4 linked regions of the Stegostoma tigrinum genome follow. The protein of the gene in region 1 interacts with the protein of each later gene in a pairwise test. Links are inferred from orthologs where the notes say so. Each region holds a gene or a part of one and is shown in the gene's direction. Other genes may lie near its edges. The genes, in order: bysl, lzts2a, probable ATP-dependent RNA helicase DDX17 and probable E3 ubiquitin-protein ligase MID2.

Region 1 (7,797 bases):
CTGAAAAGTATACAGATTTTTAATAAAAATGCACATAATGTCCTTGTTTCACCCCAGAAACCACTCAAGATATATATTGTTCTATGGGGACAAACATTTATTCTTGTAGGAAGGAAGTGCAATTTAGCAGAAGTAGAAGGTTATTTCCCACTTTGGAATAATAATGAAGGAAATAAAATCATAACACATAATAAAATTTGGGGAATTACTTTAAATGAAATATACCCCTTAGGCTTTGTTCTACTGACAATAAACAGTGACTTACTTTCTAAAAGTACTTTTGCATATGGATGCACAAATCAGTGTAGTTTGGAACAAGTAAATGTTAGCACCAAATCAGCAATTAACAGAACTGAAGGAATCAGCCAAGATTCCATCTGCAAGTACTTTTTATTGTCAGAATAGACAAATAAACCAAGTTTGTATCTGATCCATACAAGGTAATCAGAATACATTGCAAGTGTTGAAATGTTATCATATCCGCCATATCCTAAATAGAAGAGCATCCACAATTTGCTGTATCTCAAAGTTCTGATATGTTGTCATCTTAACAAAATACTTACATGATATATGTTCATGTCTACAAGTGTTAACAGACATGCAAAATGGTGCTGCAGCAGAAGCATATTGACACAATGGGTTCCCAACAGCTTTAACATTTTGATGTTATCTCTCCACTTGCTGAACAAGGTAGCACGATACTGATTGAAGCGAAGAGGCAGCTGCCAAATTGATCCAAATTGGTTTATGACTATACAGCCTCTTTGGAAGGGCAATTCACCTCATCCCAATCTTCTGCTCATTTCCCACAGCCCTGCTATTTTTGCCTGTTCAAGTCATTATAGAACTATACAGTAATTACATTTCAAAGTTTTAAAAATACTTCCTTCAACCAATCAGGCAGCACATTTCAAAATCATAACAACTTGGGTCTTAAAATCAAATTCTCATCTCCCAGCTGGATATGAAAGAAGTGTGAGAGCTTGAAAAAATGATAGGAAGGGGAGCCTTTGGGAGAATCTGTCTTGTTTTGAATGAGACTGTGGAGATTTTTTTCATTTACTCATGGCATGTGAACATCCCTGGCTGGGCCAACACTTACTGCCCATCCCTGGTTGCTCTTATGAAGGTGGTCGTGAGCCAGCTTCTTGAACTCTGAAGTCCATTTGTCCATTTAGAAGAATCGAGTCTTTAAGTCTTTAAGCAATGGGCAAGGACTGGGATTGCTAATCATGGAGATAGTAGGAACCGCCGATGCTGTAGAATCTGAGATAACATGGTGTGAAGCTGGATGAACACAGCAGGCCAAGCAGCACCAGAGGAGCAGGAAAGCTTGACATTTTGGGTCGGGACCCTTCTTGCTAATTATGGAAACTGGTAAAGGAACCAAAGGTGAGTATAGGGGGCAACTTGTATTTATATAGAAACTTTAATGTCATAAAACATTATGGGTAGAATGAAACTGACTGTGGGAATGTTGGAATGTGGTGTGTCTTATTGAAAATGATACATGTCACATAGGTGCAAAATGCAGTGTATTGGCCACGTGGGTCAGGCAGAAGTGGTTGGTGCTTTTTGATCCAGTGTTTTTTTTCCTCCCTCCCCTCGGGATCTGGGAAAAGAGGGGTATGATTTAGTTTTTGTTTCAACGTTTCTGAGGAGGTGTTGATTCGGAAGGGTATTATAAAAACAAAGTATGATACTCAGCCACATGGTGCGATATTGGAGCCCAGACATTTTGTCAAAAAATAGGTTTTAAGAAGAATTTAAAATAAAAGGGAGATAGAGAAGCGGAAAAGTGTAGGGTGAGTATTTCTGAGCCTGGAGGCCTAGGGAAGATATGACCATATAGTGATTAAAATCAATGAAGTACAAGAAATTAGGATTAGAAGGGCTTGGGTCATTGAGTTGAAGACAGAATGTTACGATGCCAGTAAAACTGACTAAAACCTCGTACAATAGGCATCATTCGACCCATGGAGACCTTATACAGGGAAAAAGACCTTTTAGCCCGTCGTGTCCTGTGCTGGTCATCATGCATCTATCCAGTCCAGTCCCATTTTCCAGCACTCAGTTCATAGCCCATAGCCTAGTATGTAATGGTATTTCGAGGGGTCATTTAAATGCTTTTAAATATCTTAAGGGTTCCCATCTAAACCATACTTTTAAGCAATAATTTCCAGACACCGACCCAACTGGAAGAAATTCCCCTGTAAACTTCCTGCTTTTTACCTTAATGCTGTGTCCCTCCCGTCATCTACCCCGGCTATTAACCACACTATTAAGAGGAAAAGATGTTTCTACCTACTTTTTCTATGACCCCATAATTTTGTAGACCTCAATGAGCTCTTTGTGGTCTAAGGAAAACAATCCCAGTCTAACTGGGTGCATTCTGAGGGAGGGTCACTCGACCCTGAACATTAACTGTGATTTTGTGGCATGGTGGCTCAGTGGTTAGCACTGCAGCCTAACAGCACCAGGGACCTGGGTTTGAGTCCAGCCTCAGGCAACTGTCTGTGTGGAGTTTGCACATTCTCCATGTGTCTGTGTGGGTTTCCTCCCACAGTCCAGAGATGTGCAGGCTAGGTGGATTGGCCAGGCTAAATTGCCTGTAGTGTTAGGGGAGTGTGGATTATGGGGTAATATGTCTGGGTGGAATGTTTCAAGGGGTGGTGTGACTTGTTGGGCCAAAGGGCCTGTTTCCACACTGTAGGGAATCTAATCTAATTTCTCCCCACAGATGCTGCTAGACTTGCTGAGCTTTTCTAGCAATTTCTGTTTTTTTTGCCCCAGTCCAATATACAGGACAATAAAATGTGAGGCTGGATGAACACAGCAGGCCAAGCAGCATCTCAGGAGCACAAAAGCTGACGTTTCTGGCCAAGACCCTTCATCAGAGAGGGGGATGGGGTGAGGGTTCTGGAATAAATAGGAAGAGAGAGGGAGGCGGACCGAAGATGGAGAGAAAAGAAGATAGGTGGAGAGAGTATAGGTGGGGAGGTAGGAAGGGGATAGGTCAGTCCAGGGAAGACGGACAGGTCAAGGAGGTGGGATGAGGTTAGTAGGTAGGTGATGGAGGTGCGGCTTGGGGTGGGAGGAAGGGATGGGTGAGAGGAAAACAGATTAGGGAGGCAGAGACAGGTTGGACTGGTTTTGGGATGCAGTGGGTGGAGGGGAAGAGCTGGGCTGGTTGTGTGGTGCAGTGGGGGGACGGGACGAACTGGGCTGGTTTTGGGATGCGGTGGGGGAAGGGGAGATTTTGAAGCTGGTGGAGTCCACATTGATACCATTGGGCTGCAGGGTTCCCAGGCGGAATATGAGTTGCTGTTTCTGCAACCTTCGGGTGGCATCATTGTGGCAGTGCAGGAGGCCCATGAAGGACATGTCATCTAAAGAATGGGCGGGGGAGTGGAAATGGTTCGCGACTGGGAGGTGCAGTTGTTTATTGCGAACCGAGCAGAGGTGTTCTGCAAAGCGGTCCCCAAGCCTCCGCTTGGTTTCCCCAATGTAGAGGAAGCCACACCGGGTACAATGGATACAGTATGCCTAATTGGCAGATATGCAGGTGAACCTCTGCTTAATATGGAAAGTCATCTTGGGGCCTGGTATAGGGGTGAGGGAGGAGGTGTGGGGGCAAGTGTAGCATTTCCTGCGGTTGCAGGAGAAGGTGCCGGGTGTGGTGGGGTTGGAGGGCAGTGTGGAGCGAACAAGGGAGTCACGGAGAGAGTGGTCTCTCTGGAAAGCAGACAAGGGTGGAGATGGAAAAATGTCTTGGGTGGTGGGGTCGGATTGTAGATGGCGGAAGTGTCAGAGGATGATGCGTTGTATCCGGAGGTTGGTGGGGTGGTGTGTGAGAACGAGGGGGATCCTCTTTGGGCGGTTGTGGCGGGGGCTCGGTTCGCAATAAACAACTGCACCTCCCAGTCGCGAACCATTTCCACTCCCCCTCCCATTCTTTAGATGACATGTCCTTCATGGGCCTCCTGCACTGCCACAATGATGCCACCCAAAACTTGCAGGAACAGCAACTCATATTCCGCTTGGGAACCCTGAAGCCCAATGGTATCAATGTGGACTTCACCAGCTTCAAAATCTCCCCTTCCCCCACTGCATCCCAAAACCAGCCCAGTTCGTCCCCTGCGCCCACTGCAACACACAACCAGCCCAGCTCTTCCCTTCTACCTACTGCATCCCAAAACCAGTCCAACCTGTCTCTGCCTCCGTAACCTGTTCTTCCTCTCACCCATCCCTTCCTCCCAACCCAAGCCGCACCTCCATCTCCTACCTACTAACCTCATCCCACCTCCTTGACCTGTCCGTCTTCCCTGGACTGACCTATCCCCTCCCTACCTCCCCACCTATACTCTCTCCACCTATCTTCTTTTCTCTCCATCTTCGGTCCGCCTCCCCCTCTCTCCCTATTTATTCCAGAGCCCTCACCCCATCGCCCTCTCTGATGAAGGGTCTCGGCCCGATACGTCAGCTTTTGTGCTCCTGAGATGCTGCTTGGCCTGCTGTGTTCATCCAGCCTCACATTTTATTATCTTGGATTCTCCAGCATCTGCAGTTCCCCTTACCACTGATACAATTTACAGGACAGATTGGATGAGCTCTTTCAAAGGGCCAGCATCAGCAGGATAGGCTGGAAGGCCTGCTTCCGACTGAAAGGAAGCAATAAGTATGGAAAGAGACCAAGTGGGAGAAAGGCAGGAAGGAGCACTTGAGTAGAATGAAACTGGCGATGTAATTATGGAACGTGGTGCGTCTTATTGAAATTGATACACGTCGCGCAGGCGCAGGAGTCAGTGCACTGGCCACGTGGGTCGGGCAGACGTGATCAGTGCTTTTCGATCCGGTGTTTTCCTTCCGGCGTCTAGGAAAGGAGGGGTACGATTCCGTTTTTGTTTCAACGTGTCTGAGGAGGGGTTGGTGCTTTAGTTTGGACGGGGTGATGCCGAAAGCGAAGGCGGCTAAAGGCAGGCTAAAGGAGTCCAGGGGCCTGGCCTTGGCCGATCAGATCCTGCAGGAAGATGCTGTCAAACCGATCAGCCGCAACAAGAAGCGGGGCCGGGGCGACGAGGCTGACGATGAGTACGTGGACGAGAAACTGTCCCGCAAGATCCTGGAGCAGGCCAGGATTCAGCAGGAGGAGCTGGAGGCAGAGCATGGAATCAGCAAGAAGAAGAGACCCCAAGCCACGGTCCTGGGTAGGTTTGACTGCACCGTACGGCCAGAAAGCGCGGGAGCCGGGGGTCTCAAAGTGTAGTAACAGGTTTGGTATTAAATCCGCATCACCCAAGGTTGCCAAAGCAGTTTCGAAAAATAGTTAACCAGGCTAAACAAGTGTTGGAATATCGTATGATCTGGAATTCTGTCAAAATTTAAGGGAAAGTTGGATAACTGCAGGGGGAAGAAATAAATGCTGAGCAACTTAGATGAAAATCGTCTGAAGCATGAACGCCAGTAGTTAGTTGGCCGAATGGCCCGACTGAAGGTGCTTTTGATGTGTTCAGTTGAAATAATAACCCATTTCTTTACAGAATCTAACAATCCTGCTATTTACATTTCTTGCGTGGTGTGGTGATTCTAAGACCACAGTTGATGCATACAAACTATCTTTCTTTGTTGAGCGCAGAAGTGAACATTCAGGTCTGTACCACTTTCAATGAGAAATCAAGTTAGAGCCTGAATTGCATTTGCTGTTTTCTTGCTGGTGAAGGAAAAAAACAATTTGGTTCCTTTTTAATAGCTATAATTGAACCTGTATCCGTCACCCTAGCAGATTCTGCCTTACAGATAAGTCACCTCACTCTGTTGGTATTTGTCTTAGGACCCTTCACCCTTAAGTCATTGATAACTTTCTGTTTATGTGCAATATTGTCTTCAAACCCTTTTTTTAAAAAAAACCCTCTTGAAGGCCCTCTTTAGCTTCTTCTCCATGGACGACAACCCTGAAGAAGAGTTAATTTGGACCTTTTTAAAATTAATTTGTGGGATGTGGGCATTGCTGGCTGGCCAGCATTTCTTCTCTGTCCCTGGCTGCCCTTGAAAAGGTGGTAGTGAGTTGCCTTCTTGAACCGCTATAGTCCACCTCCTGTCAGAGGGAATTCCAGGATTTTGACCCAGCAACAGTGAAGGAAAAGTGTACATTTCCAAGTCAGGACAGTGAGTGGCTTGGAGGGGATTTGAAGGTGGTTGGGTGTTCCCATATCTCTGCTGTCCTTGTCCTTCTAGATGGAAGTAGTCATGAGTTTGGAAGGTGCTCTCTGAGGATGTTTGGTGAATTTCTGCAGTGCATCTTGTAGATGCTACACACTGTTACTACTGATGATTCCGTGAGTATGACTTTGTCAGGCTGTCTTCACTAGTCTGTGAGACAGCTCTCCCAATTTTGGCACTAGCCCCCAGTTGTCAGTAAGGAGGATTTTGCAGGGTCTACAGGGCTATTTCTGCCATGGTCTCTTCTGGTGCCTAAGCTGATGCCAGGTGATCCATCTGGTTTCATTTCTTTGAGATCTTGTAGCGATTGGTACAACTGAATGGCTGGCTTTCTAGGCCATTTCAGAGGGCAATTGAGAGTCAACCACACTGCTTTGGGTCTGGAGTCACATGTAGACCAGACCAGGTGAGGATGGTGGATTTCCTTCCCTGAAGGACATTAGTGAAACAGACGGGTTTTTCCGACAATCGATGACGATTTCATGGTCGTCAGGAGATTCTTAATTCTGGATCTTTTCATAAAAAGTTCTGCTATGGCAGGATTCAAACTTGGAATCCCAGAACGTCAGTGATCGCCTTCCCGATGACATTGATTGATTTTTTTCTCTCTCTGTAGACGTTGCCAGGCCTGATGAGTTTGTAAGTGAAGAGTTAGTTCTCCAAGTAGTTGTTATGTACCTATTTGTAAAAACTGGAAATTTCTTTGTATTGTTAATGACTAATACTTTAGGACATTAATGATGTATTGTTTTGCTATTGGATCCTTTGGACTTTTGGAGTTTAGGAACAGGAGTTGACTATTCAGCCTGTTGAGCCTGCTGTAGATTCAATATGATCACAGCTAATTGTCCAATTCCATGTCTTTTTCCCCCCCACACTATCTTCTTACTCCTTAATATCATGGGTCTTGAAAAATCTGTCAATCAAACAAATGCAGTGAATGAGCTTCCACAGCTCTCTGGAGTATACATTTTCAAAGATTCATGTTCCCCCAAAGTTTTTTTTAAAAAAAAACTTCTCATCTCAGTTCTGATAGGCTTCCCCATTATTTTCAAATTGTGACTCTTGTTTCTAGACTTTGCAACCAGAGGAAACCCCTTGTCTGCATCTTTCCCATCCTTCACTTCAACTATTTTGTAGATTCCAATGAGATGACCTCTCACTCTATAAAATGTCATCACAGTTTCCTCAGTCTCTCTCTTCAAGATTAGTTGAACATTTTGAGATCTGGTAGAATTTCAGAGCACCCCCTCTATAGTGGTATTACCCTTCTTAAGGTAAGGGCACCAAAACTAGACATGCTGTGCACTCTGGATGCAGTCAAACCAAGTTTCTGTATAATTGAAATGAGACTTCACGATTTCTGTACTCACATCCTCTTAACATGGAGAAAGGCTAACGTACCATTACCCTTCCTAATTGCCTGTTGCACAGGATTCTCTAGTACAATCAGAAAATGGTAAAAATGTGTAGCAGCTGAAATGGAAAGGAATTGAGGGGGAAAAAAAGTTAAGATTTGGATGGAGATTGTTAATCTGATCATTTTCTTTTTAGTTTGTGGTATCAGTAAGTTGTACA
Region 2 (7,093 bases), on another chromosome or scaffold:
CATCCCCAGCAGAGATCAGTGACCACAACAAGAATGCAATGCCCCATGAAAAGGTGTCAGATCCTTTCCATGTTGCAGCAAGTGAAATGAAGATATCAGTCCTGGCATTGGAGCACAGAGTGCTGACTATTACCTTCCGCACCCTTCCTACGCCTTGTGTGAGCTTCACTGTCACTGCACAGGGACTCAAGAACCTACACCCCCACCCCGCAACTCTCAAATGACACCCTAACCTGCATATCCTTGCACCGTGGGAGGAAACCCATGCAGGCACAGGGAGAATATGCAAACTCAAACCTTGTCCTCTCAATTAAAAGACAAGTGTGGAGAACAGGCAGGCTATTCAAATAAATAATTCAACACATGTTGTAGCTTATAATTAACTGGCTCATTGAATAATAAGTTCATCTTGTGTTCGGACGGTTTCCGAGGGAAGAGATCCTGCAGCCTGGAGTGGCCCATGAAGAATGAAAGCCAGCCCTGATCCAGCTACATAATTGTCAGCTAATCATTTTTTCTGAGCAGACTTACCAGAAATCCATTAGCATGGGAGGGGAATCGGGGCACCAGTGAAAAGCATTGAGAGTTCAGCTCCAGATTAATCTTCAATCTTTTCATCATGGGCTCCACGATTCAAGGATTTTATTCATTAATTACACACTAAAGACTGCTCATCAGGCACTGCGTTAAACCACTCCTTCCCTTTTAATTGTTTCCCAGAATTTGCTGTTCCTTGTTCGCATTACAGACCCCCACAAACTGTTCCACTACAGCGTCATCAGAAACAGAGGAGGTGACGGCCTAGTGGCATTAACGCTAAGCCAGAGGTAAAGTTCTGTGGATCCTGGGTTTAAAGTGGAATTTGAATTTGAGTTAAAAAATCTGGAATGAGGTATTTAATTTCAGGAGGTGGAGAAACCCATCCTGGTTCAGGAAAGCAAAGTGCCTGCTCCACTCTTTAATCAAATCATGGCTGGTCTTTCCGTGAACGCAGCTCCACTTACCCATCTGCTCAGCAGAACCCTTAATTCCCTTTACTGTTCAAAAATCTACCTTTACTTTAAAAACACTCAATAAGATAGCCTCAATGACTTCACTGGGCAGGGAATTCCACAGATTCACAAACCTTTGGGTGAAGAAGTTCTATCTTATACTGAAGTTCTACCTTATTTCTGAAGAAGGGCCTGAACCCAAAACGTCAGCTTTCCTCCTCCTCTGATGCTGCTTGGCCTGCTGTGTTATCTCAGATTCTCCAGCATCTGCAGTTCCTACCATCTCCCTACCTTATGCTCCATGTAACTCCAGACCTACAGCAATATGGTTGGCTCTTACAGGCAATAAATAGAAGTGACGCTCACAGCCCATAGGGTTAAGGAGAATCCAAAGGGATTTATAAATACATTAAGGACAAAAGGGTAACTGGGGAGAGAATAGGGCCCCTCGAAGATCAGTTAGGCCGCCTATGTGTGGAACCACAGGAGATGGGGGAGATACTAAATGAGCATTTTACATCATGTTTACTGTGGAAAAAGATGTAGAATGTGAGGAAATAAATAGCGATTATTATGGAGGAGAAGCTGCTGGGTGGCTTAAATCGCATAATTGTGGATAAATCCCTGGGACTATTATCAGGTGTACCCTAGAGCTCTGTAGGAAGCTAGAGAAGTGATCGCTGGGCCCCTTGTTGAGATATTTGCATCATCAACAGCCATGGGTGATGTGCCGAAAGACTGAAGCGTGATTAACATGGTGCCATTTTTTTAAGAAAGGTGATGAGGAAAAGCCAGGGAACTATAAAGCGTAAGCCTAACATTGGTGGTGGGTAATTTGTTGGAGGGAATCCTGAGGGACAGGATTTACATGGATTTGGAAAGGCAAGGACTGATTAGGGAAAGTCAGCATGGTTTTGTATGTTGAAATTGTGTCTTACTAACTTGATGAGTTTTTTGAAGTAACAAAGAGGATTGATGAGGGCAGAGCGGTGGACGTGATTTATGTGGGCTTCAGTAAAACATTTGACAAGGTTCCTGATGGTAGACTGGTTAGCAAGGTTAGATCACATGGAGTAGAGAGAGAACTAGCTATTTGGATACAGAGATAATAAAGTGTGAGGCTGGATGAACACAGCAGGCCCAGCAGCATCTCAGGAGCACAAAAGCTGACGTTTCGGGCCTGGACCCTTCATCAGAGAGGGGGATGGGGAGAGGACTTGAAGGGAGAGGACAGAGGGGGTGGTCAAATATTGTTTTTCAGGCTGGAGGCCTGTGACCGTGGTGTGCCACAAGGATTGGTGCTGGGCCCACTGCTTTTTGTCATTTATATAAATATTTGGATGTGAACAGAAGAGGTATGGTTAGTAAGTTTGCTGATGACACCAGATTGGACGTGTAGTGGACAGCGAAGAAAGTTACCTCAGAGTACAAAGGTATCTTGATCAGATGGGCCAAAAGGCTGAGGAGTGGCAGATGGAGTTTAATTTAGATAGATGTGAGGTGCTGCACTTTTGAAAGGCAAATCAGTGCAGGACTTATACACTTAATGGTAAGGTCCTGGGGAGAGCTGCTGAACAAAGAAACCTTGGAATACAGGTTCATAGTTCCTTGAAAGTGGAGTCACAGGTAGACAATGTAGTGAAGACGGAGTTTGGTATGCTTGTCTTTATTTGTCAATACATTGAGTATGGGAGTTGGGAAGTCATGTTGTGGCTGTTCCGGACATTGGTTTTAGAGTATTGCATGCAATTCTGGTCTCCCTGCTATCGGAAGGATGTTTTGAAACTTGAAAGGGTTCAGAAAAGATTTACAAGGATGTTACCAGGGTTGAGGTATAGGAAGAGGCTAAGTAGCCTGAGACTGATTTCCCTGGAGCATCAGAGTGGACGGCTGACCTTATAGAGGTTTATAAAATGGTGAGGGGCATGGATAGGCTAAATAGTCAAAATCTTTTTCCCAGGGTGGGGCATAGGTTTAAGGTGAGAGGGGGAAGATTTAAAAGGGACCTAACAGGCAGGTTTTTCATGTAGAGGTGGGTGCATGTATGGATGGCAGTTTCCTTCCTTAAAGGACAATAGTGAACCAGATGGGTTTTTCCTGACAATCGACAATGGATCCATGGTTATTATTAGATTTTTAATTCCAGATATTTAATGAATTCAAATTGCATCTTCACCACCATGTCGATTTAGCTTCTGTATCAGACACTATTTGGTCCAACCTTGCCCCGTCCCACCTTCAAACCTCCTAAAAACCTATCCCCTTGACCACACGTTCAATGTCTTGTCCAGCACCTTGTCACCTGATTCAGTGTGGAATTTGACCTTGAATAGCCCTGTGCAGCCCCAGGAACTGCACTAAAGGCTGCTATATCAATGCAGGGAGGTCTTGATGCTGACAGTCTGCCTGTGGCACCATCTCCCAAACATTTTGTCCATGGGGGTCTGAGAACTGGCTGTCACTCCAAGTCCATCCAACCACGACTTTTGCCTGCCAGAGATAAACCAGAATGATCCATTTCCCCTACCCCGACCACTGTCCCCCCCCGCCCCGGGGCCACAATTCTTGTTCATTTTTGTACATCTCTCCAATGGGGTAGGAGAAATAAACAGTTGTGGGTCAATCTCTTAGGGACAAGTGAAGGGAAGGGTCTAGGCCCGAAACATCAGCTTTTGTGCTCCTGAGATGCTGCTTGGCCTGCTGTGTTCATCCAGCTTCACACTTTGTTATCTTGGATTCTCCAGCATCTGCAGTTCCCATTATCTCTCTCCACACCTTGTTATCTCGTGTATTTATTTATTGTTAGAAAAGAATCATCTCCATTTCAGCATTTTTTTCTGAAACGTGGGATTCAGTCTCCATTATTGCAAACTCCTTAATGTTGATGTGTCAAGTTTCAAACGTGAAACAGAGGGTGGGATTCAGCAACTGAACCAAAGCAGAACAGAACCACAGATTTCAGGGATCCAGGGGCTTCAGGAAGCACAGACTGGTCATGACTGATGATTTCCCAAGGCAGCGGCGATAGGTTTCTCCAATATCCCTCCCCTTGCAGAAGAAAAAAGGGGTGGGACTCTGACAAGCAAATCCTGTTACTGACAGATGCTGAAGGGAACTGAAGGAAGTTCTGCGTGTTTGTTTGTCATCGGCCCTTTTTCTCCCCACTCTGTATGTGCATATGCATCGAACAGAAACATGCTGGCCGGCTCTAGCGGCGTAAAGGTGTGGGGCTAGACCGAGGAAAGAGAGAGAAATTTGAACTGACTTTGAAAGCGGCTCGTTGGATCGCAACTGAAAGTAGGGGAGAGGGCGAGTCGATAGACGGTGAGTGTGTGGTTTAAGTACGGGTCGATAGTGCTTGTCGTTTTCCTTGTAAAACCACACACTTCTCCCTCCAGGCCCTGATATGTGTCTGTGGGGGAGAGAAAAATGACAAATTATCCTGGAACTGGGCGCAACAGCTATTTAACAAATCGTATGCATTAGTCAAGCCTACTTATATTGTTTTACGAGACTGAGAGTAAAAGTTTATTATCTCTCTGCAAACCCAGTTTATTTCTGCTGGAATGGAGTCTCTGAATTGCTTGGTTGGCGCGGTGTGTAATCTGAGGGGCAGTTTTGCTTCCAGACCACCCCTAACATGCTCCTGGCTAGGCTCTCACCCCTGAAAAGAAGGAGATAGAGAAATTTCTAGAGGTACAGAATAAACTCTTTGTTGAAAAACAAGAGAGAAACACGTTTTTTTTCCTCTTTCTGTGGAGAATTTCTGCTGAGCTGGATTCCAGGGTTGTGTTTTTAGCTCCTACATAAATTTCTAAATTTTTGTTTTTGCTGGTCGTGTTTTCTTTTTCTGCTGGCAATAACTTAATACATAAAACACGAAGCTAGCGAGTAAATTGGATCTGCGTTATTAATAATGTGTTTGGTGCTGTTGTGGTAGACTGTAATTTCCCAGAGGTGAAGGGAAAGATCTTGGCGTACGTTTCTGGATAATGTTTCCTGTAAAGTGGAAATGTACAGATACTCTTGATGTCGGTCTCTGTATAACAGCAGCCTGTTCTCTATTGGCCTTTGGTCTCCCGGGTAGGGGAGTTGTGTTCAAAGTGGTCTGACCACACCCCCTTCCCCATTGCAATTGCTGCACCCCTCATTAAATCAGAAAGACTTGTTTATTGCTGAGATGTTTGTAGGTTGGGAGGTGCCTGTTAATATTCAACAAGCTAGAGAAGTTGGTATGAATAGACTGCCTCTCCTATATGTGTGTCTCAGCTGGGGCTCAGTGGGTGACTCTCACACTCTTGAGTCACAAAGTTGCGGGCTCAAGCATCTCTGCTGCGTGCCACAGTCGAGACCAACGCTTGGGTCCCAATGTTTGGATGAGACGTTGAGCTATGGTACCGCCTGCCCTCTCAGATGGACAGTAAAGGATTGAGGCAGGTTTCGAACAGCAACAAGGCTGTGTTCGCCAGTGTCCTGGTCAATGTTCATGCCTTATATCGGATTATCGGGTCATTATCACACTGTCATTTGGGTGCCACATTACCTCAATACAACAGTGACTGGCAAGGGAGTAATTTAATTGCATACGGTGCTCTGAGAATGCCCATTGGTTGTGAAAGGTGCAATGCAAATGAAATGTACATAAATAGGAGCAGACCATATGTGCCTTAGTCTGTAAGGCTGATAAGTTTTTCTTTTGCAGAATGTTCCCCACAGCTCAGTTTTTCCGCCCCATTTCTGCCAGAGCCCTTTTATCCCCTAATGCTCACGTCCCAAAGACTATATTGTTCGTCCACGTCTTACAGGATCCAGACTTTCAATTACTCGTAACCCTCTAAATCCTTCCCACACCTCAGCCCTAGATAGCTGACCCCTTATCTTAAGACTATGATCCATAGCTTCAGACTCTGCAGCTGGGAGAAACAGTAACTCAGGATCACTGATAATAAAGTGTGAGGCTGGATGAACACAGCAGGCCCAGCAGCATCTCAGGAGCACAAAAGCTGACGTTTTGGGCCTAGACCCTTCAAAGAGGGGGTCACTCAGGATCACTGCTTCTTTATTAAACACGGGAATATACAGGCCCGAACTAACTTGATTGTTCCTCATAGCCCAGCACTCTTGTCCCAGGCATCAATCTGTTGAACCTTTGCATCCACTCCAATGCAAGCATACCCCTCTTAGGTAAGGTGACCAAAATTGTACCTTTGTACTTCCAGGTATAGGCTTTTACCACCGTATATAATTGGAGCAAGATGTTCTTGCTGTTACTAGGGGCAGCACGGTGGCTCAGTGGTTAGCACTGCTGCCTCAGAACACCAGGGACCTAGGTTCGATTCCACCCTCGGGCGATGTCTGTGTGGGAGTTTGCACGTTCTTCCCATGTCTGAATGTGTTTCCTCCAGGTGCTCCAGTTTCCTCCCACTGACCAAAGATGTTCAGGTTAGGTGGGTTGGCCATGCTAAATTGCCCATAGTGTCCGGGGATGTGTAGGCTAAGTGAATTGGACTTGAGAAATGCAGGTTTACAGGGCTTTGGGTGGGATGCTCTTTGGAGGGTAGGTATAGACTTCTTGGACTGAATGGCCTGCTTTCAAACCATATGGATTGTAATATTATATTCCAATTCCTATGCAGAGAAAGCAAACGGTTCAGCTTTCCAGTTGCCTTCATGCTAATGTTCTATGACTCGTGTAAAAGGATCTCCAGATCCCTCTCACATCAATGTTTACTACTGTGTTTCAAAAATTTGCTGCTCCTTCATTTCTACTACCAAGCTAGAGAATTCGCCTTTAGAGATAGTAGGAACTGCAGATGCTGGAGAATCCAAGATCACAAAGTGTGGAGCTGGATGAACACAGCAGGACAAGCAGCATCTCAGGAGCACAAAAGCTTTTCTGACAAAGGGTCTAGGCCTGAAACGTCAGCTTTTGTGCACCTAAGATGCTGCTTGGCCTGTTGTGTTCATCCAGCTCCACACTTTGTTATCTCGGATTCACCTTTTCCTGGATTATACCCCATCCACCACCACCTTGTGGAATCATTCTGTCACTATCCCACTGCAGCATTTTTATGTCTTGCACATTGCTTCCTATTCAGCTA
Region 3 (7,151 bases), on another chromosome or scaffold:
CAACATCGAGGGCCGAAGGGCCTGTTCTGCGCTGTATTGTTCGATGTTCTATGTTCTATATTTCACACACCCTAGCCCCCTTGTAGACCAACATCATTTAATTATCATTTCAACATTTATTCCCTTTTTGCCTGTTCATTGTAGTTGACAAAATTGATGATTATTTGCTCTTCTCAACTGGACACCACGATCTGATCAACTTGTTCTTGATATCTCACAATGTAATCTAACTCCATGTAGTCATTGATATACAGACAAAAAGTGTCCAAAAATAGCAATTTGAAAGTGGAACAATGTGGATGACAAAGTGCTGATTTTTGGGGAATTTCAGCAGTGACTATCCAGCACTCTGACAACTCCAACCACTGCTACAGCCAGGCTATCAATGTTCTACGTTTTACTTCCTATGGAACAATCTCCTACATGGCACTACATTAACAGGCTTGGTGAAATCTATCTAAAAAAAAACCATGGAGTGCCTTTCAGTCATAAGCTTTGATATTTCCTAACAGTTTAGTTTCTTCATTTTTGTCAGGAGTCATGTATTAAGTAAAGACAACAAGTGAATCTCCTGAAGAGAATAAAAAGTGTGGGGGCATTCTTAAGAGGGAAGTCAGGAGGGCATTTGGGAATATGAGATTGTCTTGACAGATAAGCTTAAGGATAATTCAAAGAGATTCTACAGGTACATGAAGAGCAAAAGAGCCTCTAGGGAGAAAATACAAATCAAGGTCATATATATGTGGAACCATAGGAGATTGGAGAGATACTAAATGAATATTTTGCATCAGTTTTTACAGTGGAGAAAGAAATGGAAACTCAGCAAAATAAATATTGATGTCTCGTGAACAGTCTACATTACAGATGAGGAACTGCTGGAGGTCTTAGAAAAACATAAAGGTGGATAAATCTCCACAACTTGATCAAGTCAATCCGAGGATGTTATGGGAAGTTAGGGAAGAAATTGCAGGCCGCTGGCAAAGATATGTGTGTCATCTACAGCCACGGGCGAGTTGCCAGAGGATTGGAGGGTGGCTGATGTTGTGCTCTGAAATAAGAAAGGCTGGAAAACCAGGAAACTATAGACCTGTCAATCGATGGCATCAGTTGTTGGAGGGAAAGAATTTGCATGCATTTGGAGCAGCAAGGACTGATTAGGGATAGCCAACATGTCTTTGTGTAGGGAAATCATGTCTCACAAATATGATTCAGTTTCTTGAGGATGTAACCAAAAGGACTGATGAAGGCAGAGTGGTAGATGCTGTCTACATAGACTTCAGTATAGCCTTTAAAATGGTGCCACATGGTAGAATGATGAATAAATTAAATCACATGGGATTCAGGGAGAACTTGCCAATTGGATGCAAAATTTGCTTAATGGTAGGACACGGAAGGTGGTAGCAGAGGTTTGTTTTCACCAACAGCATTCCAGAGGGATTGGTGCTGGGTCCACCTTTTGTTTCTTACTTATATTAATGATTTAGATGAGAATTTATGAGGCATGATTAGTAAGTTCGCAGATGACACCAAAATTGGTGGTGCAGTTGAGTGAAGAAGGTTATTGAAGATTCTGAAGGAATCTTGATCAATTGGGCCAGTGGAGTGCGAAGTGGCAGATGGAGTTTTAATTTGGATAAGTGCAAGGTTTTGCATTTTGGTAAAACAAACAAGGGCATGACTTATACAGTGAATGATAGGTTCACAGATAGTGTTTTTGAACAGAGACCATGGGGTTCATAGATCATCATAGAATCCCTACAGTGTGGAAACAGGCCCTTCAGCCCATCAAGTCCACAGCAACCCTCAGAGCATCCCACCCAGACCCATTCCCCATAACCCACCTAATCTGCACATCCCTGAACACTGTGGGCTATTTAGCATGGCCAATCCACCTAGCCTGAACATCTTTGGACTGTGGGAGGAAAACTGGAGCACCCAGAGGAAACCCATGCAGACAAGGGAGAATGTGTGAACTCCACACAGTCGCCTGAAGGTGGAATTGAACCCAGGTCCCTGGTGCTGAGAGGCTCCCTTGGTTCAGGTACATGGTTCTTTGAAAGTCACAGACAGGATGGTTAAGAAGGCATTTAGCATACTTGCCTTCATTGCAGTGACCAGTACAGGAGTTGGGATGTCATGTTAAGGTGCTACAAGACATTGGAGAAGCCACTTTTGGAGTACTCTATAAGGTTCTGGTTGGCCTGTGGTAGGAAGGATATCATTAAATTAGAGAGGATTCAAAAAGGTTTACCAGGATATTGTCGGCACTGGAGGGTTTGAGTCGTAAGGATAAGTTGGATGGCTGGTACTTTTTTCACTGGAATGTAGGACGTTGAGGGGTGACCTCATAAAGGTTTATAAAATCATAAGGAGCATAGACAAGGTGAATAACAAGGTCCTTCCCCAATTGTGAGGAGTTCAAAACTGGCCAGCATATTTTTAAGGTGGGCAAGAGAAAAATTTAAACGGGATCTGAAATACAACTTTTTCACAGAATGGTTCGCATATGAAATGAACTGACAGATGAAGTAGTAGAGGCAGATACAATTACAACATTTAAAAGAGATTTGGATAGGTACATGAATAGGAAAAGTTTAGAGGGATATGGCCCGAGCGAAGGCAAGTGGGACTAGACCAAAGTGTCTGTTTCCGTGCAGTATGACTCGATAGTGTCTTTTCTGCAGCCCCCTCACACCCCTTACTATTGGGGCCTTTGAATCTAATTCTGGATCTGATTTAAACTCAGGCTGTCATCCTGGTTACAAGTGGAAATCAGCAAATTTTGGAAATGCTGGCTCCACGATTTCAATACCAACATACAAATTAGGTACAGGAGTCGGGCATTTGAACTGTCAAACCTTTCTATCATTCCATAAAATCTTGGTTGATCTGACTGTGGCCTCAGCATAGCATACTTTCCTGTCCCCTTACCCTTAAATTATTGATGTGGAGGTGACAGTGTTGGACTGGGGCGGGCAAAGTCAGAAGTCAAACTACACCCAGGTTATCATCCAACAGGTTTATATGAAATCACGAGCTTTTGGAGTGCTGTTCCTTGGTCAAGTGAAGTGTTATTCCTGACAAGGGAGTCAATCGACCTGCATTTTAAGAATTTTCAATATGTTTATATTATTTTATAAATCCATCTCGTTGGAATAGAGTTCCATGGATTTCCAGTCCTGGGAGATCACTGTTCCCATATAGGACAGTTTAATTTTACACTGTATTTCCTAATTCCAGTCTTCCTGAGGGAAGGATTCTTTCCATTCACCCAATCAAAATCCTTCTGAACTGCCACAGAGATAGTACGAACTGCCGATGCTGGAGAATCTGAGATAACACGGTGTGAAGCTGGATGAACACAGCAGGCCAAGCAGCATCAGAGGAACAGCAAAGCTTGACGTTTCGGGTCGGGACCCTTTTTCTGAAGAGTCGGGACGCGAAACGTCAAGCTTTCCTGTTGCTCCGATGCGTTCATTCAGCTTCACACCGCGTTATCTCCTTCTGAACTGCAATCGATTTAGACGCACACTTTCCGCATGAAATAGCCCCTTCATCCAGAAATCAAGTTCTGAGGAAGGGTCACCGGCCCCGAAACGTTATCTCTTTTATTTCATTCAAAGATGCTGTCAAATCTGCTGAGCTTTTCCAGCAACTTTGTTTTTGTTCCTTCCAGAAATCAAACTGGGTAAACTTCGGATAAACTACTTCCAGTATCATCTTTCATAGGTAGAGTATACAATAGTCCAAATGCGGTCGCACCAACGCCCTGGAAACTTCCTATATTCCATTCCCCTTACAATAAAACACCTTTGTGTTAACCTTCCAGTACTTAGCTGTTGACATCGCTTCCTAATGCCTTTGGAAAAGGTGGTGTTTAACATACACGCAACAGTTTCCTAAACTAAAACTACATGAAGTCAGAACTGGGCAATTAACAGTAGGTTTTGATAAACAAGCCTTATTTCGCAGGCCGTCCTTTGAATGCTCGAACAGACAAGGATGTGACGTTTCTGTTGCTAGGTAGACTTTAATCCGGCGGGAGGAGGAAGCGCGGCTGTTCGCGACAGGGGTCCGGCGGGAGGAGGAAGAGCGGCTGTTCTCGACAGGGGTCCGGAGGAAAAGGGGTGTTCCCGACTGGGGTCCGGCGGGAGGGAGAAGGACAGCTGTTTCGGGTTTCGGCGCGGAGTACGGCTGTTCCTGTTCAGGATCCGGCGGGAGGGGGCTGTTCCCAACCGAGAATCCAGCGGGAGGGTCGGCTCTTCCGGCAAGTTGCTGCTGAACCTATCGCAGGAACTGCGGCTTTTCTTTGTTCCCCGACGCCGAGAATCGAGCGAAAATGAGAGGATTCGGTGGAGACCGTGACCGCGGTAGAGACCGAGGAAGGTAGGAGGCTGAACAGGACCGCACACTTACCACTCCGGGTCAAAAGAAGCAATTTGCAAGGAGCGGGTTTGGCAAGGAAGAGGCCTCGCACTTCCACCAGGCCTGGTTTCTAGGTCTGTTGCCCCGCCTAGGCCAGGCGGCGAATCGTGGCTGCTGACTTTGCCACCCGTGATCTCTGGCGAGGAAGCATTTGCGCGTAGTCGTTTGACGGGGTCCGGTATTTGAGTGACCCCGGGGGTTGAGGGTGGTTGTGTTCTGGGTCCCTGTCCGCCCCCCGTTGATCGGGGTGCAGGGAATCTGGGCTTGTGTGTGCCGTTAAAGGGATCTGAAAGGTCGTGGACTTTGATGCCCAGGAATTAGTGGGATGACTCAGGAGATGTACCTCCCGGTCGAGATGTAGGTGCGATGCTTCGCGGCCTGTGTGCTGGCGAGGATGGGATGATGAATGTGGGTCTCTGTCAGCCGGCCGAAAGGAGGGTTCCGGAGTTCTTGCGGGAAGATGGAGGGGGTCCGGCTTAGCTAGTGGTCCCGCCTTCCGTTGGCACTGCACTCTTATTGGTCGGGGACTGTTTTCTCTAAATTTGATTGGATCTTTTTGGTGTCCGTCTGTCCCGTTTGGGTCTTGCTTGACAGGTGTTTGACCCAATCAATGTGACTCTAGCCCGACCTCGCCTTCTCGCCCGGTAACGTACGTCAATGAGCCGTTCAGCGAGGCCTAGTCTGAGCAGCCGTGCTGTGTTTCTCCATTACTGGCTTGTCTTTGGTTCAGCCATTTTACTGTCGCAGGCGTAGAGTCGCCCTCCCTGGATGACACGATGACTCAACCGTGACCTAATTCCTCCAGTCCTCCCTATATCACTTACCTGTTTAAGCCCCTCTCATAATTTCACACCTTGGCAATGTTTTTTTTTAATGGTTCCAATCTTCTTACTCAGGGTAGCCTATAGTACTTACTAGCTGTACTAATAATAAAATTCACATGTAACATCTGATGTGGGCTTCATTTGTGGATTGCTGGCTGGGTTGTAGTTGTACCTATTTCTGACTAAGACTCAACCTCCTCTCACTAGTAATGGCCCACGGTTTGGTGGAGGGCCTAGCCGTGGGGGCCCATCACTTGGGAAGAAATTTGGACAGCCTGGAGAACGCTTGAGGAAGAAGAAGTGGGACCTGGAGGAGTTGCCAAAATTTGAGAAGAACTTCTATGTGGAGCACCCTGAAGTGGTTCGACTAAGCCCGGTGGGTATCTGAATGGATCTAGTTGCAAAAGTTGAGTGAGTTGTTAACTGAGATGTAACTAACTTAATTTGATATTAGAATTTTGCTGTAATCCTGCGATATGAAATATCAACTGTTGATTTAATTTTGAGTCAATTCCTCATAAAATAACTATCTTTGTATCTAACTTTGCTTCTCATTCCCCTAATGTGGTTATCATGTGACCCTTCCTATTGTCTATTGTCTAAACTGTCACTGCCAATATCACAATTGTCAATTAGGAAATTAAAGGAAAATATCATTGTGCTGGAAATTGCAAGTATTGAATTGCTGTTATGAAAATAAACTTAGCAAAATAGCAGTCTTGAAGAAAGTAATGGTCGAAAGGAATGACAAATCCCAAGACCAGTGGTTTTCAAATTTTGTTTAATTGACGATACTGCATGGCCTTAACTGTGACGTTTTACAACTCTCTTGTATCAGAACCTTCCTTCTAAATTGAAAAAATTATGGCGATTTAAAGCTGAGAAGAAAGCCAGAAAATTCTGGACCAGTTAGCCTAACATCTGTTGGGGAAAATTGCAGGAGTTTTTTTTTAAAAACAATATACAACTTCAAAGCTTTTAGCTGATCAAATAACCCCACAGGTGAACAGTCAGTCATGACTAATGAATATAGGTCGAATCACCTACCTGTGTTCCGATTAAGCCTGCTCTACCATTCAAACAGATCGTTTCTGCTCAGTTCTCTCTCTGCCGTATTTTTCTGTTTGATATCATCAGTATCCTGAAACCTATTAATTTTTATAATGTGTGCTCTGGTTTCTACTGGCATGTGGTGTAGGTGAGTTGAATTTTTGAAGAGGTGATTAAAGTAAAGGAAAGAATGTCGTTGCATATGGATTTTTTTTATGTGGACTGAAGACATTTCATCAAAGATCGTCAAAAGAAATTGTTAACTGAAGTTGCAGCTAATGAAATAGAAGAGAATTATTGACCATGTTAGGAAATGGATTAAGCAGCAAAAAACGAGAGTAGGGATAATGAGCAGGATTAATGATATTTTGTAGGTGGTTTTGCAGCTTCAGCTATTCACCATCAATAATAATGACTCATGATGGGGCAGAAAGTCACATACCCAGATTTTGCCAATGATGCAAAAGAGAGGTGTCATTGTGAACAGTGTAGGTAATATCACAAAGCATGATAAAAAAAATTAATTGAATAGAGAAAACTGATGAATAAAATTAAATGTAATCAAACGTATAGTAATTCAATCAGGTCCTAAAATACTAAAATGGGTGACTTTCTCTGGATTGGAAAGCTAGAAGCAACGGGGTCCAGATCATTAGATTTCCTGAACAGATCAAGAGAAGCTGACGGACTGTTGACTTTTCTGACTATATAATATATGGGTTAAAGTGGCAGTTCAACTATACAAAAGTGTGCTTACACAGCAACCAAGTGCAATTGATAGTTCCTGGAACCATTGTGGGAAGGTTATCTTAGACTTCAAGAATGCAGAGACAAGATTTACCAAAATAACAC
Region 4 (7,433 bases), on another chromosome or scaffold:
GGTTAAACAGTAAAAAGAGAACACAAATTTAGGGTAATTACCAAAGTAATTATTAGAGGTCAGGTCTTTACACAGAAAACGGTTAGAATGTGGAATTCTGTGCAACAAAGCTTTGTCAAAGGGTTGTTAATAAATTAATTGAAAGGCAATAAATTGTTGCTTGAAATGTTGTAAGTGAGCAGGAGAGAGGGATTACATAACACAGCTCATGTGGGGAACAACACAGATGCAGTACTAATGAGCTGATTGGTCTCCTCTCCACTGTAATTTTCTCTGATTTTGTATTAGTAAAGTCTTAAATCAAAACACAACAACCTCTTTGGGTTGAAACTTAGTGGTGAGTGTTTTTTGGAGAGGTATAAGTTTTGGCAAGCTCCCTGGAGGGTTTCTCCCACTTACTAAATTCACCTCATTAGCCACCTACCCTACCTCACTGGTGCCATTTTTACCCAATTCTCACTCCATTCCACAAATCACCACTGCCAGAATAGCCTGGAATGCACCAGCTTCCCTGGTGCCGCTGTTATGTTTACAAGGCGATTGTGCAGCTAGACAAGCACTGTCTGTCTACAGCTGCCCTGCGTGGTTCCTGACGTTTGCCCTGGAAATGGTAGACAAGGGGAAATTTCTACCTTGCTTTCTGGGCAGTGACCTGGAGGTCCTGCTGGATGGGGTGGTGCAGAGGCAGTCAAGGTCACAACACCAGACCACATCAGCCTGGTCCAAGTCAGTGCCCCCTCAACTGGCTGGAGGAATGTGCTGTAGGAAGAAGGCCAATGACATTCTCCACTCCTCCAGTGCAATTGCCACTATCTCATCTCCAATGTTTCAATACTGCTCTTAACTTATTATGCCAGGGGCCCTTGTCTGAAAACTATGCCCTGTGAGTTGACTGATGTCAGCTACAACCATGATAAACTTCCCTGGCTTTTTGACTGTGCTAAACCCATATGGTAATTACAGCAGTACTGTGAACTGAATATCTCTGGGTGAAGGACAAGTTCCAAAAAGGTAAGGCAAGTCCATGTAAGGCAGGAATGGTTTGACCATCGGGTGAGCTTGATATGAATCAGGGCTAATCGGATTCAGGCCATGAATTAGGTATCTGTTTCTGAGGGCAAAGTGTCCAGAACTACATTCAACATTGTCATTACACCCTGAGGTGCAATATTGATGTGCAGAAGTGTCCTTTAAGTGGATTGAAGATGCATCATGAGGGCTTGATGGCTGGCACCTGTTGGATACCTGTGGCCATGGGGTGATAATGGCCAGTGCCCATGGAGTGTGCCTTGAGATGCTGGTGTTTGCTGCTCAACATGCAAGTCCTTTGGAACAAGTGGTGAGCTGAAATCAGCAGGTTCTCCTGATTGTCAGCAGGTATCTGCTCTGACTTCCATGTCAAGAATTGCTGGCAGCCAGATTGTTTCAAGCCATGCAAGCAATGGATAGCTACTTATTAATGAGGTGAGTTCTGCAGTTAATATGACTGTTTACAGACAATAATCCTCCCTAATGGGCAATTCACAACTGCCTCACAAGCATCTTGCCTCAATGCCTGAAACTCAGTTAAAAGAGAAAGTGAATTATTCCTGATGTGATAGACATTTGTGGACTTCTTATGTGATTCTACCACATTTCACACTTTTACCCACATTGTTCATGATCTTATAACATAACATGTGTTTGCAAGTTGCAATGTGCAGAACTTAATTGGAATATGGACTTAAATAGTGTCACTATGCAATCAAAATAATAGTAAAACTAATAGATGCTATAGTTATTTTATGAAAATGGAATAGCAATTTCAAGGGAGGACTGGATATATTGTCAAATCCTAAAGTTGCTGTCCAATTTACACTTCTCCACTGTCAGTCGTGTAAAGGCATCATCCTGTCCTCAGCTTCCCTTTTATTTGCATTTTGCTGTATTTTTTCATCAGCTGCTGTGAAAACCCAACACAAAATAATTCCATGTCAATACAGCATAATTTACTGTTTATGTTAATGATTGTCAATTAACATCTAAACACAGAAAGTGACATAAGTATGGAGTCTTGTTCCTTCAGATTTTGAATAAGTTGGGGATATTTTAAAAATGTCAAATTTTTTTAATAAAGTATTTCTTTTCAGTTTCCTTTTCTCTCGTCCTTTCTCTTAATCCAATCTGCTTTCCCTCCCTTTATTTCTCTTCTGTACCTGATTTAATATTGAATTCATCCCTTTTTTCTGCAGCCTCTTTCTCACTCATCCCTGTTATTTTTTCTCAATTCTTAGATCTTATTAGAATGCAGCAAATGTTATCAGTAGCACTTATCAATCAGTTCTCAATGTCTATCTCCCACCGTTATCAGCTTGCACTTTCAACAAAGTTCTAATCAAAACATTTTGAGGTGAAGATTCGGTCTAACTAATTATCTGCTGTTAAGTATCATGTTACATCGAATTTTGGCCTGAAAAACAAACACGCACCTTAAAGACAAAAGCTTTGGTCACCCCTATCTTGTTTCCAATACTTTAATGATGAACTTGCAAACATCTGTTTACATGATTGTAGACTTCCAGGCAGGTCAGGAATGCTCGAGATTGACAATCATTACAAATTCACCCCGACATCTAATCTTTGCTATCTCTTTCAGGCAGTCGTGAGATTCTGAGCCTTCCACCTGCCTATATCCTTGGTAATTTCAGCCCTAGATATACAGAAGACCACTTAGCTGTGTGCAGCAAGATATCTGTTATTGTTTATCTGAGTTAATGAGTTGCATTTGAATGTATTTACATCGGGATTTAGAAAATATAATTTTGCAAGTAGCATATGGCCCTGCATATTATCACCATTTAGGGTGTTTTAAACCCCATACTTTAAAATAACAATAAATCTTTACATTGGCCCCCTTCTCCAATTTCCCCAGCTACTCCCCACTGTCCACTCCCTCTGCTTCACAGCCAATGAATTAACTCATAAGTGCACAACACGAATTAGAGCTGACAGAGGGATAGAGGGCAAGTGCCCAGATTTAACGGCTAGCCTGTACCAACCGAGTTGATCCTACGTGAGGTACTTCAATCAGCACCACTGACCACCAGAAGAGAAACATTCCCACAACAATGTGCAGCTAAGTATGAGAGTAGATATCAGGTCAATGTGCGGCAAATTTGATTGATACTTGTATTGGAAATGGGCCATGTCTGAATGATCAAGCTACAGAAATGATGTAGAACTGTACCTAAATAGAAATCATTTTATTTCTCTCTTTTGTAACATGCCTTTCACGATCTTAAGAAGTCTCGTTGCAATTTACAGACTCGAAGCGCTTTCAATGTATAAACATGGCTATAATTTCGAAGATTGAGCATCCAGCTCTCTCGTAATCAAGATCACATTGGATCAATGTTTGGATAACAAAGTGTGGGGCTGGATGAGGGCCTAGGCCCCAAACATCAGCTTTTGTGCTCCTAAGCTGCTGGTTGGCCTGCTGTGTTCATCCAGCCCCACACTTTGGATTCTCCAGCATTTGCAGTTCCCATTATCTCTGATCACAATGTTTGGGTAATCTGTCTTCTGCTTGGTGACGTTTCAGATAAGTGGGAAGAATTGTCCTCTTCTTTGAAGTAAAACAATTTTTGGGGATCTTTTACATCCACCTGAGAGGGGACGCAGAGTCTCTGATAGCACCAAATAATTTGCAAGACAATACGTCTGACACAACAGAACTCCCTCACCACTTCGGTGAAGTGCTAGCCCACATTATGTGCTCATGTTTCCTCTAAGGGCTTTGAGCCCATGCACTTTTTACTCTGCAGTGAGAGTACCAGTCACAGTAAGTGAACAAGGGCAACATGATCTGGAAAGAGAAATATACATTTAAAACATTAACTTATTAAATCGAAAAAAACTTCCATCCCCATTCGAGCATCACACCACTACAGCCGATTGCTTAAGGCAGTAGAACCTCCTTTTCAGAAAAAAAATTGATTGCAAACAATTTAAGAATTGATTTCCTCTGAGACCATTAAAATGGATGCTTTGTGACCATATATAGCAGCAAGAGAATACCATTGTTTTTTTTCCACAAGCCAGAATGTTTCCAGACAGTTAGATTAATAACACAAAGAATGTTGGTGCTTCCGACAGAGCTCGAATTAGGAAAAGGCAATCAGTGAGAAGGGTGGGAGGATATCCGTGGTCCAGCCAACTGCAATGAAGCAGCATTTTAATTGATCCCAGCTGCTCGTGAGAGGAAAATCATTCTAGCAGCTTTAAATCACGTGTCCCCAAGGAAATGATTCACTGAATCTCTGCTCCTGCCTTGCTATTTGATGATAGGGTTGGGAATGGGGTGGGTGATACATTGAAGCTGAATGAGCATAGTTTGTAAATCTTTGTGAAGAGAGACCGGAACATAGCAAAGGAACTGAACTTCGTTCGCGTTACTGCTAGGAGGCAGCTGACGGGAAAACGATACTGGGAGGGAGTGATTAACACAGATCCTTGGTGAGGAGCGTGCACGCTGACAGATAAAGGTAAGTGGTTTTTTCTTATTAACATAAAGTAAATAACGGAGAAAACTACACCTACCAGTGAGAGAATTGCAGTAGAATGCTGTTTCGGTGATGAAATTATTATTGTGTGCCTAGCTTAAATTCAAATGTCTTGTAAAACGCTTTTTGACGGCAGGTTGCTAAGGGCATATGCAAATATTACTTATGCACTTCTTCAGCCTGGGGTTCTCGAATGGAAAAAATGAGCACTTTTTTTTTTAAAAGACTGGAATTTGATAGTGAGTCAATGTTAGGATTTCTCTTTTTCAGCACCAGTGAAAGAATTATCAAATGAGACAGGATGTTTTGAAGGACAAGTTGGATTTCTCACTTCAACAGCACGGTATTAGTTACAGATCCGTATGGTTGACTGACTTTCTGTATGTTACTAAGTAGTACAAAGACACTTGGGCTGGCAAATCGTGTATCCACAGTTTTGAGTTTTTTTTAAAAATCACCGTTTTTATAGAAAGGGAAGGTAATAATTGAATTTTAATATTGCAAAAGAACTGGTGTGCTTCAGAAATTGCATGTTAGGCTTTCTTATTTTGCTTTTTTTTGTCTCTACTCCATGCCTCTCGAAGGCTTGTTTTAAAGCTCAATGCTGTATGTGCAAGATGTTCTAGTCCTGAGCTGCTACTTAGCAGAGTTGTTTTTCTGTAGCTACATAATGGCTTGAGTGGCAGCAGGGGTTAATATGACTACTTATTACTCAGGGCTGGAAATGCTATGTTGACCCAAGAAAACATAGCCTTGTAGCCAGCCAATAAGCTGGGAAGTTAGATAAATCCACTATCAATCATTGGAGTGGATTGGACACAGTCACAACATTCTTCTTTTTTTCCTTTCCTCTCCTTCTTCTCTTCCTTTCTCTTCTCCCCTGCCCCCCCCCCCCCCCCCCCCCCCCACAATTGAACAATCTTTAAGGCTTGTGCTTAAATGTCTATGTGAAAGACTGCTTTCTTTCACAGAGGGGGAAAAAGCATAGATATAAAAAAACTGCAGGAAATATGAGGTTTGGTTGACCATTTGGCCCTTCAAACCTGCTGGCTCTTGGCTGATCAACCTCAACTGTTTCCCTTCTATTCCAAATATCCCTTAAGCGGTGCCCACACTGTGTAGCATTGAATATATTCAATAATTTTGTGCAAACAGTGCAGCTGAGAATTCCAAGTATTCATTACCCTCCTGACGGAGGCAATTTATGCTCTTGGCACTGCTAAATCTGCCTGTTTTTCTGAGACTGTCCTTCCAGTTAAATGCATTAAGCTATGAACTTACCTTGTCAAACACTTGAAGAATTTTCTCATTTAAAACCCACCCTGCATAGTACTTAATTTGCTATCCCTGAGATTTCCTGTAAATGGTCATTCCAACTGAAAGATGGGTGTGAGGAGCATTTGTCCCCAAGTAAAAGTCCTACTGTAGAAGATGTAACAAATAATACATCCTCTGTTTTCCATCCCAATGTAGGAAGTGCGGAAGTTACTCTTTTGGGAGGTGGGAATCCTGGTGGTGATGACTTTTGTAACTGAGGGTTGCTGTCCATTGTTAGTGGTGAGATGCATGTGTAACTGCAATGGGATAGAGATGATGGTTGCTCTTGCCCTTGTGGACCATATGTGTTTATTGATGTTGATATTTCTGGATGTCCCTTATGACACAGGACATGGCCACTGAGCCAGGTTGGCTCAGTCCATTGGCGTGGCCTCGTTTGGCAGTCAAAGGAGGAGACATTTCTGGATTGCACTTGTGTGCACTGGAATGCAACTGAATTTTAAATATGGGACCAGAGGTCAATCCTTTGTATTGCTCACCATTTCACTTCTCCCTGTTTTAGTTGCATAATTAGGTTGAAAAAGTGAAAACTGCTTCAAAGAATTTGCTCTGGAATGTGACAGAACACATGTCATGGAACTCACCACAATATTGTAGCTACCAATGAAGTTTCAGCCTAAAGAATGAATGGGGTTGGGAGTTTCTACTGAAAGAGAAGAATGGTCAATAGTATGGTTTTTCTGCAGGGGGTGGGGGCTGCAGATGCAGGACAAGATAAAACCCTTTAGTGTTTTTGAGGTCCTGATCTATGGCACTTTGCCTGGACAAATGATGGAATGGGCACTTAATTTGGAGTTAAAATGGCTGGCCATTCATAATTGAGTAAATGCATGTTGGCACTTCAAAAAAGCATGAACAAAACCATCTTGTGGAATTTAGATTTAGCTAAAATTGTTTTATTTCAATAAAGCCTTGCATGTTAACACAGTGAGTAAATGGGGGTGGTGATCTGCCCAAACTTGGAATATGAGGCTTCCTCCATTCATTCAAATCCTGATCTCTTTCTGCACACTGCTTCATTTCTGAAGCACGTACAGAGGAAAGGATGGAAACTAACAAGTGTCACCTTCTAGAACTAGTGAGGTGGTAGAAGCACAGTATGTCAGTCAAGGGCAGAGTGAATCCTAGGACAAAAGCCTCATCTTTCCCTTTCTGTTCAAGAGGAACAAGATAATTTAATCACTTATCACAAACCTTATCCTGTGTATTTATGTCTGCTGTCAGCTTTTCTGTAGTCTGAAAGCCAATGACCACTTCACTCTATCTTGGATCATAGAATCTCTACAGTGTGGAAACAGACCATACCTCCCTCTGAGGAGCACCCACCCAGAACCACCACCCGCTTCCTTCCCTACCTTCTCAAATGAGAATCAAAGGTTCCTATAGAAAGTTGGTTCAATGCCTAAGAGCTAGGGAAGACATTGCTTGGGCCCCTTGCTGAGATGCTTCCACCATAGACTGCCACTTGTGAGGTGCTGGAAGATTTGGATGTTGGCAATTGTGGTGCCATTCATCAAAGCAAGTGAGGAAGGAAAAAGAACTAGGACTCATGAG

The links.
Region 2: the proteins of bysl (region 1) and lzts2a interact in binary tests that used the Homo sapiens proteins (3 or more experiments, as listed by UniProt). The two-hybrid records come from large-scale screens. The link is inferred for Stegostoma tigrinum from reciprocal best matches to the Homo sapiens genes BYSL and LZTS2.
Region 3: the proteins of bysl (region 1) and probable ATP-dependent RNA helicase DDX17 interact in binary tests that used the Homo sapiens proteins (3 or more experiments, as listed by UniProt). The two-hybrid records come from large-scale screens. The link is inferred for Stegostoma tigrinum from reciprocal best matches to the Homo sapiens genes BYSL and DDX17.
Region 4: the proteins of bysl (region 1) and probable E3 ubiquitin-protein ligase MID2 interact in binary tests that used the Homo sapiens proteins (3 or more experiments, as listed by UniProt). The two-hybrid records come from large-scale screens. The link is inferred for Stegostoma tigrinum from reciprocal best matches to the Homo sapiens genes BYSL and MID2.

What each region holds. Positions count from the first base shown.
Region 1 is NC_081374.1:14,519,632-14,527,428, forward strand, and holds the start of bysl (bystin), read left to right. Parts: upstream 1-4,791; 5' UTR 4,792-4,951; coding exon 4,952-5,207; intron 5,208-7,797. UniProt on the Homo sapiens protein: Required for processing of 20S pre-rRNA precursor and biogenesis of 40S ribosomal subunits. May be required for trophinin-dependent regulation of cell adhesion during implantation of human embryos.
Region 2 is NC_081373.1:6,413,841-6,420,933, reverse strand, and holds the start of lzts2a (leucine zipper putative tumor suppressor 2a), read left to right. Parts: upstream 1-4,092; 5' UTR 4,093-4,316; intron 4,317-7,093. UniProt on the Homo sapiens protein: Negative regulator of katanin-mediated microtubule severing and release from the centrosome. Required for central spindle formation and the completion of cytokinesis.
Region 3 is NC_081391.1:823,299-830,449, reverse strand, and holds the start of probable ATP-dependent RNA helicase DDX17, read left to right. Parts: upstream 1-4,130; 5' UTR 4,131-4,339; coding exon 4,340-4,386; intron 4,387-5,456; coding exon 5,457-5,625; intron 5,626-7,151. UniProt on the Homo sapiens protein: As an RNA helicase, unwinds RNA and alters RNA structures through ATP binding and hydrolysis.
Region 4 is NC_081368.1:43,276,069-43,283,501, forward strand, and holds the start of probable E3 ubiquitin-protein ligase MID2, read left to right. Parts: upstream 1-4,429; 5' UTR 4,430-4,523; intron 4,524-7,433. UniProt on the Homo sapiens protein: E3 ubiquitin ligase that plays a role in microtubule stabilization. Mediates the 'Lys-48'-linked polyubiquitination of LRRK2 to drive its localization to microtubules and its proteasomal degradation in neurons.